Drosophila melanogaster: one gene and its partner. The protein of the gene in region 1 interacts with the protein of each later gene in a biochemical or structural test. Each region holds a gene or a part of one and is shown in the gene's direction. Other genes may lie near its edges.

The links.
Region 2: the proteins of flfl (region 1) and Cenp-C are reported together in a solved structure, tested with the Drosophila melanogaster proteins (one study listed by BioGRID).

The regions. Positions count from the first base shown.
Region 1 is NT_033777.3:13,682,010-13,687,006, forward strand, and holds the start of flfl (falafel), read left to right. Parts: upstream 1-1,911; 5' UTR 1,912-2,141; intron 2,142-2,415; 5' UTR 2,416-2,515; intron 2,516-4,997. Other genes in the region: omd (oocyte maintenance defects), read right to left, coding at 1-122, 178-953, 1,018-1,124. UniProt on the Drosophila melanogaster protein: Regulatory subunit of serine/threonine-protein phosphatase 4. The probable PP4 complex Pp4-19C-PPP4R2r-flfl (PPP4C-PPP4R2-PPP4R3) is required to prevent caspase induced cell death (in vitro). May be involved in DNA damage repair.
Region 2 is NT_033777.3:8,562,483-8,569,931, forward strand, and holds Cenp-C (centromeric protein-C), read left to right. Parts: upstream 1-1,622; 5' UTR 1,623-1,772; coding exon 1,773-1,774; intron 1,775-1,846; coding exon 1,847-2,354; intron 2,355-2,415; coding exon 2,416-3,750; intron 3,751-3,813; coding exon 3,814-5,248; intron 5,249-5,317; coding exon 5,318-5,956; intron 5,957-6,027; coding exon 6,028-6,170; intron 6,171-6,236; coding exon 6,237-6,345; intron 6,346-6,405; coding exon 6,406-6,470; 3' UTR 6,471-6,766; downstream 6,767-7,449. Other genes in the region: mRpS18A (mitochondrial ribosomal protein S18A), read right to left, coding at 1-26; CG31460 (uncharacterized protein), read left to right, coding at 401-404, 461-882.

The DNA.
Region 1 (4,997 bases):
CGCTCCACGCTCGTTCAGGCGCAGCACGGCATTATTCAGCGTGGGCTGCATACCGGCAAACATTTTGTTGCTCAGCCACAACGGCGCCTTCTGCACTATCACCTCGCACATGTCCTCGGTATCTACATGACATTGTGTTAGAGAAATAATATATCTCTTTATTCAACCAGTACTTACAGATTTCGACTAGCACATTGACCAAGCTCTGCAGGATCGTGTCCGAGTAGTTGGTGGTGATCAGCAGGAAAGGAACAACGGCCACGTCCAGCGGCTTCTTCGGTGCGAATCCCTCCCTAAGCATCTCACGAAAGGCTGCCCTAAGGTGCTGTTCGTGGCACGAGGTCATATAATCGAGGATGCCCGCCTCCGAATCCAGGTGGCAGCGGTAGTCATCGACGAATCGCTTGATGCCGCACTGTAGAATCTGCATGATGATCTTGTAAGGGAAACAGCCGCCCAATCTCGCCACAATCCAGTCGAAGGTCATGGGAAACCGGTGAAAGGCATTGAGCATGATCTCCACGCAGGCCTCCTCCTCCGGTTGGGTTAACTTTCGGAAACAACTATTTATAAGGGTCATCAGCCCGTGCATGGCGCTGCACTCCAGCCAATAGTTGCAGCTGGCCGTGATGGTCATCCGCCGCTGGGTGTACTTATCGGACAGCTTGGCCACTAGTTCCAGACTCCAGTTGGCGATGAGCGGCGACCAGGCGGGCGGTCCCTTCCACACCAGACTCTGCAGCGCGGTCTTTACCAGATTGAAAGCCTCGTATTCCGGAGCACGTTGCTGCTGCTGGCGATTCCCGGCCAGCTTCACCTGGGATACCGGCATACCGGTCTTTGGGTCGGCCATCTCCGGCGACACATACAGCTGCACACTGATTTCGGCCAGCAGGGCGAAGTATTCGAACACAATGTCTCGCGTGGCGGGCAGCTCCTCCAGGAATCCCAGTCTGCAAATATCCATGGAATTATTTACTACGGGCATCATTATTAACCACCGCGGTTGCTACTCACGCGAGCTTGATGAGATTGGGGCTGGTCAGCAGCTGCGGACAACTGTGCCCATTGCTCACCGTCTCTATGAAGTGCTTAAGCTGATCCAACAGGTTCTGGCGCAGCATTTTGTCGTCCTAGGCATCGGGAACGCAGCACCGAAGTTGGCCAAGTGAGCAAATGCATCGCAGCAGCGGGTCGCTGCGTCTTTCACTCGGAATACCAAAACGACGGGGCACAACTGCAGGCATTTGGAATCCGCCGCCACCTGGCCACACTAAGGCGGCAGAAAATTCGAAATTCTTTAATATCTGAAAATCATAAAATTAACAGAATAATAAATATCTTAGCACTCTAACGTGTCATTACATTCATTATAAACTAGCACCTGAGATTAGTTTAAGATGACACTTTACATTCAAGTTAAATTAAGCTGGAAAAGATTTCTAATCGGAATTATGTGTTTACTACAATGCTAACTTTCGAATCGAGGATGTAATTACTGAGTAATCAAACTGTTTGCTCTTTTTAATACTAAGTAAACGTACTTATAGCTCTATTTTCTAATTTTATAATATTTAACGTGTTTTTGTTTTAAAATATTATCGTAACAGTAGGGAGTGCGAAAAACGGTAACACCAAAACCCAGTTCGTGCATTATTGCACACTCTTTTGGGGCGAATCAAGAGCGAAAGACAACATGGCGTCGAAGCGGCGAATCTGTCTCGCAGTTTGTCGTGCTGTTTGCTTTTTTCTGCTCTGATTTGTACAAATATTCATTCAAGGTGCTCCAGTTTTGCCAAGTATATGTTAATAGAGTACCATAACAATGGTGGCGTCACAGGGGTGCTAGAGTTCGATATCGATAACAGCTCACATTCTCGTCATATGCAACTATCGCTGTACTCTCTGGCCGAGTATCGATACGCAGATATTATCGTCGTGGTCAGACCAACGCTCTAGCGTCGGTCCGCGGAAAATAGCGAAAATTACAATTATCCGGGAAGATATATTGGTCGAAAACTAACTCGTGATCCCCCAATAAATATGCGCAAGAGAAAATTGTATATAAACTGATCGAATGCAGCCAGCGTGCTAAGCACTAAAAGCGAAAAACGCCAGAAACAGAAACAAGGAATTGCAGCGTGAGTGTATAACTTTTTGGTTTTTGCCCCCGCGCTCTTTCTCTCTCTTTGCTGCTCTCTCTCTCCCGCTCTCTTTTGCCCTCTTGCGGCTTCTGTGTTGTCTGCGTGCTAGTGTGTGTGTGTTTGAATTTTACTGTGAATGTGACCGACGGTGTGTTCTCACGTACTCCGTGGATGATTTGCGGCCTTGCCAGGGAATCGGACTATATATCCCGGCAATAGCCCATATTGGATCCCGATTTTGAATACAACTCGGCTGATTTGCTTCTTTCAGTGTCTCCCCTTTTATCGCACTTTATGCAACAACGCATACCGTCGTGTTGAATTTCCTCGCTCTCCGCTGTGTGTGGTTTGTAGGTGTGCGTGTGTTCGAGGTGAGTTAGCCGTCGTCTGTTTTTCTTTTCCCTGCGTTTTGTGTGCGTTTCAATGAAATGCAAAATCGCCAGCGAATATCGCGGAAATGCGCTGCTCCTAAATATTATGTATACATAAATAAAGTATCGAATCAAAACAAAATCGGCTTGCAACAACAACAAAAACATTGCAGAGTGTGGGTGGCGCGTGTAGCGATCAAAATTGCGTGCATGTGTAATGTGTGTGGTGGAGAGACGGCATTTTTCTTTACCACACGCCTCTTCTTCTTTCCCACAATACACTGCAATTTTTGCGATTCTGTTTTGCGCCTGCCATTCGCAATAATTTTATTGAATGAACCGCAAAAGAGACGGCCCAAAAAGCGATGTACTTGCCAGACGTTGTGTCTGTGTGCGTCCAAGTGTCTGTAGCGCGTTGTGTGTGTATCGCGTATGAAAATACATCAACTGTTGGGCATCAACAAAAAAACGGAATCAAAAATTTATAATAAAAAATGAAAGGAAATTAGCTGACTTTGTAATCGCAATCGGAGAGTGTTTACTTGCTAAATTTTCGAGTTCTCCGCCCGTCTCTTTCCCTTCATCCCTCCTGCCTTCACCGCCAATACCACCCCAAAAAATTGCATACATGCACACACGCCTTCGGTTGTGCGAGTGGTTTAGTGTGTGAGCGCGCGCGTATTCTGCACACATTGTCATGCATGCAAAAAACAAGATACGACGCGTTCGCAATCGTTAGATTCCGTCTCCCCCAATTCATGGCGTTTCATTGCTGGGGGCGAAAGTAAGAAGATAACGAAAGGGATATGCGAACCACTTCCTAATGAAGTCCTGCATCCTTAGCTTTTGGATTCCCACCTCTTCGCCTTCTCCTTCTTCACACGGACACTTGCAGCGTTCGCGCCCATGCGTGTGTATGTGTGCGAAGAACAGGAAGAGAGCAGCGAGACTCCAATTATCCATTTACAGTTGCGGTTGAAATGATGGAGCATAGTTGTATTATTTGTATTCACACAATTACCGGTGGTATTTAAAGTCTTAACAATATTTATTAATTTCCTGCTACCTTCCTAAATTTTATTCATAGTTTTAATACTGTACCCAAGTACCTTAAGTTCCCTAATCAGATGTAAACTTGTTGATAGGCATAATTCCTATCTTAGTTTGTATTTTTGTCTACTATAACCTAAACTTAATTCTACTACGAATTTAATTACAACATACTAAGACTGTAATCTACAAACCAAACGAAAATGCCTTGAATAAAAGAGGTCTAGTGATTCATAATACGATTTGCACACGTGTTATTAACTAGGTAGTAGCGAAATAGAGTCAAAAAGGCCACCGACTTGTTCACAACTGTATCTCTTACTAACTTCCCTATAAAAACTAATTGTTGCTGGGGCGAAAAAATACTGCCAAGTTGTCATATTTGCCGGACTTTATTGATGACTCGACTCCAGAGCTCTATATTTCGCACACAGATTTTCTCTCGGCACTTTTCGCAACCTTCTGCGGCCGCTGGTTATTAATAAAAATTAATAATAAACGAAATCTGTGGCGCTGTGCGGCACTTGGACACACTTATGTACACATGAGCATTCTCGTGTTTTTCGCAGCTGATTGCGTAAACGAAACCGCTCGCTACGTTTGTTTTGAATTGCTACTTTTGTTTTGGTACCGATTCAGACTTGGAATCCGATTCAGTTACAGATTGAGATTGAGATTGAGATACTCAGGCTCTCCGCCTGGGCTTCAATTCTCCTGCGGGCGTTATCAGTGGCCTATGGCGCTTTATTGGAATTACCATGGAAGTGGGAACTTAATCGCTGTGCAAATCGCTTCGAAACAGCGCAGCACGCATTTTCCCCGACGTCTTGCAACCTTGGGCGAGTGGCACTGCGGGCGGTGGGTGGTGAGCGGTTGGGTGATCTAGAGTGACGTAAATATTTGTGGTGGACAGTCAACATTGAGGTGGCGCTCTTCAACGATGACGTAGCTTTTGCCACTTCTGTTTACTCGCACATTATTTCACACACTTCTCCATTGATTTTCGCCGTGCAGATAACGAAATAGTGGACTGATTGTTAACTGTGTATAAATGAAAATATGGGTATGATATGTGTTTATTTACACTTTTTTTCTGTGTACGAGAATGGTTAGATTACTCCCCTTCCTCGTTTTGAGTCACCCGCTCTCTGGCCCTCGCCGCTGTTTGTTTTCTTCGCGCGCGTGTTTGCTCTCGCCGTGGGGCGAAAGCGCAGCGATAATAGTGGCTCAGATATAGTGTATACTATATGTATAGTAAACCTACTCATACCGAAAACCCCATCGCACAGATACGGATACATTTACAGATACACGCGCGCACTGCGGAAGGCCTAGATCTAATGGAAAACGCTAAATGTTTGTAAACAGACCGGGCACATTTCTTTTCTTTTCTTAATTATTTTTTGCATTTCGCATTTTAGTTGGCATGGTC
Region 2 (7,449 bases), 5.1 Mb from region 1:
GTGGCCAATTGCAACACAAAGGACATGTTGAAGGCGTTTTTTATTTACAATTTATTAAAATTGTGCTCAAGTGTAATGTTGTTACTACAAATGTCATTCACCACGAAAGCCGCAGCGTTGCCACATCAATTGATTTAAATATTACTTCTCAAAAAAAATTATCGATGTCAGTATTTAAATAACGATATCTGTTTTTATTTTTATTGCAAGCACAAATTTGTCATTCGAGAATTTTTCATGTAAATACGTAAAAAAAATAGAGAAAAATGCCTGCCTAACGAATAAAACTTTGTTTAGTCGTTACATACTGGAATATCCCTTGTATTATCAAATATCAGTTTCGATAGTTCGATAATTCACTACACGTATAAGAAAGACGCCGGCTGGAAGAAAAAGTAATATGTGTAAGCAAATGCAAGGAAATTACGGCCAACAAAAACTAAACTCTGAACCTTTGCAGCCGCTTCAGTGAGCAGTAAGAGCACCGTGGTATCCTCCATCATCTCGGGCCTCCTGAGCATTGTTTTGTTCGGCACACTGCGTTTCTGCTCAGAATGGTTTAACGACTCGCAGCTGAGGGTCCTTTTGGGCGGATACCTCTTCTCCTGGGTGTTCATCCTGAGCCTCACGTGCGTCTCCAACGCGGAGATGGTTGTTTTCGGCCAGGACTTCCAGGCCAAGCTGCTACCAGAGATTATTTTCTGTCTCTCACTCACGGTGGCCGCCGCGGGACTCGTGCATCGTGTCTGCGCCACCACCAGTGTTCTCTTTTCCCTGGTGGGGCTCTACTTCCTTAACAGGATCTCCACGAAGTATTACTCCGTTCAGGTGCCCAGCGTGGATGCTCCTACGACGAGAAAGGGCGGAAAGAAGTTCAAATGAACCATTCGTCTGCTTCTTATTTCATTACTAACACATTCGAATACCTAATCTTTAATAACCTTTAATAAATAACTAACTTATAAAGTCATGTCAATCGGTCACTTTGAAGCTATCCAAGCTCCATTATTACAGTTGGCCAGCCTTATACTACTGAGTATTGGTGCTGTGGAATAGGGGATCTTATTGGGAATTCATGAATTCAGTTAAAAAACTCCAATCTCTGGTTATATGGATATCGTAATCCTTTTCCAACAGAATCAAAACCTCGAACGCAAAGTCGTTTTCACAGCGTCTCTATTGCATGCCTTCTCGCAGAAAATGTATAGCTCCACTTTTTGGTTGCTTTTCAAAGCTGCTTCCAGTTGTTATAAAGTGAATTCGAACAAATAGATCAATCTGAAAAGTCGGTTTAGTTTGCTTTAAACATTTTGGATTTGTTTTGTCAACAAAAATTGCCGGCAAAGTGTGACCAGCTTGCGTTTTACGCGTTTAGTATATTTTAGTAATGAAATACTGCATATAATGGTTGCCTGCTGGTCAACGCTTTCGAGTATATTTTCAATAAAAACTTTTGAAATAAACTCAGCTGTATTTAACAATAACTGTTTAAAAACGATTGCATCATGCATTTGTAATTATACAGGGTGATGTCTTATTATTATCAAAGAAACTTTTAGATATTTATAGCTCTTTTCTGATAGTCTATTCGAGCGCTCTGGCAACACCCCACCTAGGCGCGCCTACAGACGTTACTGGCAACGCCAAATGAATAGCGTCGCGTCTTTTTTGTAGTTTAAAATTTTGTGGAGTTTTAGCGAAATAAGTTAAGTTTATTGTTGTCGTGTATGTAACTTCGTGAAGAATCCTTTTTTCAAGTTTCAATTGCAAATATGTAAGTTGCCACCGCGAGCATGCCATAGGCAAGAGAACATACAAACTCCGAGCTCACCCGTCTGTTTTTCAGGTCGAAGCCCCAGAACAACGACACTCTGGAGCTGGACGACATCCTAAGCCAGCCAGTGAAGGACAAGGAGCGCTTCGCCGCCTTTATGATGCGCAAGCTTGCCGAAAATAAGCCGGCACAGAATGACAATCTCTTTGGAAACTTCAAACTTGACTTTGACCTTGATTTCGAGGTTCCACTGATCAAGAAGTCTCAGGCTAAGCCCAAGTCCAAACTACCAGAAGTACAGCCCCTTGGGGAGTTGGTCAGCAAAAACAGTGCCGCCACCGAGAAAGTCAATGAGCCGCCTGTGGACCAGGCCCCCAATGAGAACGTGCCTCCGCGTCGATCGCCAACATTGTCGCCCAATAACCGACGTTCCATGCGCCGCAGTGGAAATGTACCCGGATCTGATAAACTACGTCGACATGCCATCCGCCGGCGGTCCAGGAGCTGTGGACGCCAATTGCTTCCAGAGTTTGAGGAGACCGTAAACTTGACCCGCAGCATATCAAGTCCTGTAAACTTCGTATGTTAAATACATGTCCCACAAATACCTAATCCTTGTACTAACAACAATGCTCTTTTAGTTACCAGAAATAAGCAGCACACCTTGCACAGAGAAACAAAAAGAGGAAGTTGCCAAAAATACAACAAGAGTGGAAACTGATAAACCAGCGGAAAAACCTATGGAACTATCACAAGAACCAGAGCCGGAAAATCCGCTGCAGACAAAGGTGACCTCACCTGCCAGGAACCCTATTCTTGCAGCTGAAATTGAACAAATCTGCAAAGAGCGACAGAGTTCCTTTCACAAGAATGTACTGCAGCTGGACTATTCTGGACGGGCACCGTACTCGCGACCCCCTACTCCGTCATCACCATCCGTTGCGGGCCTACGACGTACCTACACAATGGAAAAGGGCCCAGCTCCAGGCCAGCTGCTGCTATCGCCATCACATCGCTATGACACACCGAGCAAAATGCCAGTAGTTAAGGCAAAGCGGTTCAATCAGGAGTTAATGGTCCCGGACACGCCAGAGCGACAAAGTCACGACCCAGCCTGGCAATCAGAGCCCCAACCGGAGTTCGTAGTGCCGGAAACCCAGCCGCAGGATCTGGGAGAGTTGGTGCAGACTCTGTCGCGCAGCGCGATCAGCCCAATTGTGGTGATAAACACATCCAATTCGAATCGTAGTGTAAGAAGGGACGCTGTCGCAATGAAATCTGTTCCGACTTCGCCAGTTACGGCGTTATCTTCACCACCGATTGCGCCTTCTCCTAGGCGATCCGCCGCTGCCTCTCCCCAGAAATCCATTGCACAACTGCCGCGGGTGGAAGAAAATATGGATGCCATAATGACCGACGACGAAAGCGACGAACATCCCAGCACTGTGCCATTAAATCTAGCTCCTTCAGGTGGGAACACAACCCGGCAACGGCGTTTGCGCAGTAGTAATCGGGCTCGAGCTACAATCGAATCTCAGGAGAGCTCTATGCGCTTGCTTAACCTTCACAAGTCGGTCAATGCCAAAAAGTCAAAGCCGCGAAAGACTGCTATACCGCTGAATAAGGCTCCAAGTGCCCCCATTAATGGCGAGCAGTTTGCCCGCGAGCTAACCCGGATGAGCAACTACGAGATTTTGGATTTGCGCAAGCGCAACTCGTTGAACGAGATATATCCTTTAAATGGGCACAGAAACCATCGTTCAGAGAAGCTTATCCTAGAAGAAGAGATTCAGAGGGAGCTGCTACGTAGAAATCTAATGGATGAGGCCGAAGGTTTGCCAAAACAACAGTCCTCGGATGATTCGAATGAAGACTATATACCGGTTCCGCCAAAAACACAAAGTCTTCGAACTAAAAGCAATGATCGATCGCAGGGACGAGGGCGACCACGATCTACTCGTCGTGATCTTCCAATGGTAAGTTCAAGATCGCTTATATGTTGCGAAGGAAAAAAAAAACCTTTTTTCCCCGTTTTGCAGACAACAGAATTGGTAAACTATTTGGGTCTCTCCCAGACTTTAGAGACTCGACGCAAATCTTCAAAGGACGGCAAGCGTTGTCTGTACACAAAGGGTAGCTCGGACCATGAAGATAACGATTCATTATCACCTGTAAAATTGCCAAGACTAAGCAAGAGCATCCAAATTGTTCCGCCACCTCCAGTTTCACTGCGCTATTCGCAATCTTTGCAAAATCTGCCCTGCTCCGGAAAATTTGATTTCGATAATGTCGTGATGGCAGCCCCACCAGATTTCCATGATAGTGTAAATAGTGATGCAATTGAGATTGCTCCCCCGCCTCCAGAGTACGTTGTAAATACACGGGGCAGAAGCACAAGTGGGCGAAAGAGCAATAAAAATGACCTGGTTTTACCTCCACCGGGGTACGAAGGGGGCCAGGAAGAAGAACATGATGAGCGACCAAGCCAGCCGCGTTGCACAGCCAAAGAACTTCAACAATCCACTCAGAATGGACGAAGGGCGATGGAGAACGAACTGGTACCACCTCCTATCGAATATGTTGAAGAAGAGAATCGCAACAATGAGCAATCAAGGAGATCGACGAAAAATGGCAATCTTGTTGATCGAAATACACATAACGCAGTAGAATATTGTGAACCGCCAGAGCCACCAGAGTACGACGATAGTGACCATGGGCAAGCAAGTATACTGAGGAGAAGTGGAAAAAAATTGCAGCACTCCAAACAGAGTGTACAAAAGTCCAATAAGGAACAAATTATTGCACCTTCGTACGAAAATAACGAAGACTATGACAGTGACGAGGAACCAATTTACAATGAAGAATACGGAAAAGAGGAATCTCAAAATAAAAATGTCACTAGAAGAAAGAGCGATAAGGATGAAATGGCATCACATACATTAGAATGTATTGAAGGTCCAGATCCAAATTGGAATTCGTCCTGTAACAAACAGAATCGTAATCACCAGAACGCATCAAAAAGCAAAGAAAATGATAAGTTAGCCAATCGTTCATCTAAGTCCCAGAAACTCTCAAATCCCCGCCAGAATGCAGTTGGTACAGAAAAATCCGTAGCTCTAAGCAATCGAGGGGAAGAATGTACCGAGAAATCATCAGACGTTATGGAATCACTTCGCGTTAACACACCCACTCCTCCGATTGATCAAAACTCAGATGATGTTCCCAGCAGAAATCCATCTCCCAGTAGGACTCTTTTGTCTGACGACGTACCCAGCACGAGTAGAGCGGCGTTGGAGTTTTTGCAGCGTAGTCAGAACATGTCAAAGAGTCGTCCCCCGGATGAATCAAGCGCGGATGTGGTGTTCAAGAAACCATTGGCACCTGCACCAAGGGCGAAATCAAAAAAAGGGAAGTCTGAAGTAGACAAATTAAAGCTGGCCAAAATGCCGGTGGAAGCTGAGGAACTAAATACTAGTGAGTATATTCAATAATAAATGTTTTGATAAAATTAAATGTATGCTCTATTATTTTCTGCTCCCTTAGCCGGTATTCGGAGATCAAAGCGCGGTCAAGTTCCACTTCAGATGAGTTGGTGTCACACCATGGATCCTAGCAAGTTTAACTTTATGAGTGGCTTCATAGAGCCTCGCAGCAAAAACTCAAAGACGAAAAAGGGAAATTTGAGTAAGGCGAAGAAAGCCAGTGCCACAAAGCCAAAGCCTACTGTAGAGAAGAACTTACCCGACAACCGGGGACCATTGTGCAGCAGTACCCCAAGAATTTCTGAAAAGCTGCCAGGGGCCATACCGCATTCCGAATCCCTTGGCCTGAGTACCTTGACGTGGGAAGAAACTGAAGTGCAAGCAGAGGCTGAGAAGGTGCCCAAGAAAAGGGGACGACCAAAGAAGGCAGTTGGAGGTGTCCAAACTGATACGGAGGCTGAGCCAGAACCAGAGCCAGAGCCTATGATATCTTCGGTTGCTCCACTTACAAGCGATCAGGAAGAGCCTGACGTTCCTGACGAGCAGGCGCCTTATACGGAAGCTGCGCTAGGTCCCGTCGTATTTTCAACTCCCCTGAGAGACGAGCAGGAAGAAGCCTCCACTAAACTGATGCAGTGGCTGCGTGGCGTCGGCGATGCACCACCCAGTGCAAGTATGTCGGATGAAAACGCCAGTGTCTGTAAGTGTAAAATCTATAGAAATTGAATCCATATAGCTTATTTATTAATAATTGCTATTTTTCATTGCCAGCTTCTGCAAACGAATTGATTTTCTGTCAGGTAGATGGTATCGACTACGCTTTCTACAATACAAAGGAGAAAGCAATGCTGGGTTATATGCGATTCAAGCCATACCAAAAACGTAGCATGAAACAAGCGAAAGTCCATCCACTTGTAAGTAAAATATAAGATTATTCCCATTCAACTCGCAGATCATTTTAAAACCTATTCTGCTTTTAGAAACTCCTTGTGCAATTTGGCGAATTTAATGTGGAGACCTTAGCCGTGGGCGAAGAGAAGGAAGTCCATTCTGTTCTGCGTGTTGGTGACATGATCGAGATAGATAGGGGTAAGATATTGCTGAATAATATTTATTATATATTATTTGAATGTTTCTTTTCTTCCTTAGGCACTAGGTATAGTATTCAAAATGCGATAGATAAAGTCAGTGTGCTGATGTGTATACGCAGTTAGTAATTGCTTTGTAATTTATATACGGATAAGTATTGAGCCGATTTATATTTCTTACGTTTTCGCCACAGAAAATAAAAATAATAAAGAGTTGTTTTGTTAAAATATGTAAGACCGACATAGTTTTTTCATGTATTTTAAGTAGCAAAGGTGATAGACCCACGCCATAACTTCGGGTCATATCCTAGCTGCTTAGAATTTCAAGTTCATTTTATTTCCATTTTCTTTGAAATTCACAAGTCGCTCGCCGTGATGTTGATGGCATTGGAGACTTCAAAAGCGAAATGGCAAACAGGGGTAACAACGCCAGAAAGAACAAATAAGCAGGCAACTTTCAAAACAATCTGCACGTCTGCTTTGTATGGCAATTTTTAAAAAAGCACACACACAAATCACACGCAGCAGGAACACAAACATAAATTTGTAAAAAAAAAAAAAACAAAACAAAAATTGAATCAACAGAAACTTTTCCGGCAGGTGTGCCAGTGCCTGCATCCCCACACGGGACTTGGAACATCGTTTAAAATTAACAAAACACCATCTAACATTCATTACAGCAGTGTCAACCCTTTGATCATCCCACACGCCGCACTCTATTACGAGTTTCCCGGAAAATACCTTGCAAATAAAAGGAATTAATAGAACGATTTTATATATAGATAATCTTATATATATTCTTTAGTTCACTTGATTGGTTTAAAATATGTTAATGGGAAGCTAAAAAACTAAATATTTTATATTCACATGCTTGCACATGTTCTCGGTTCACATATTTTCGCCGAGTGTGCACAGACAATTGAATCGGAATTTTTCAGGTCTCGCTTAGGCAGCTGGACTCCACGCCCACCGCCATGTGCAGCTCATGCATGGCAATCAGCGGGAAACCTGTAGTGTTTCTTTGAAGTCTTGCAATCCAATGGAGAATGGCTGACGAACTAGAGAGAAGACGTCTTACAATGTGGACAGATATTGGTGCCTGGTT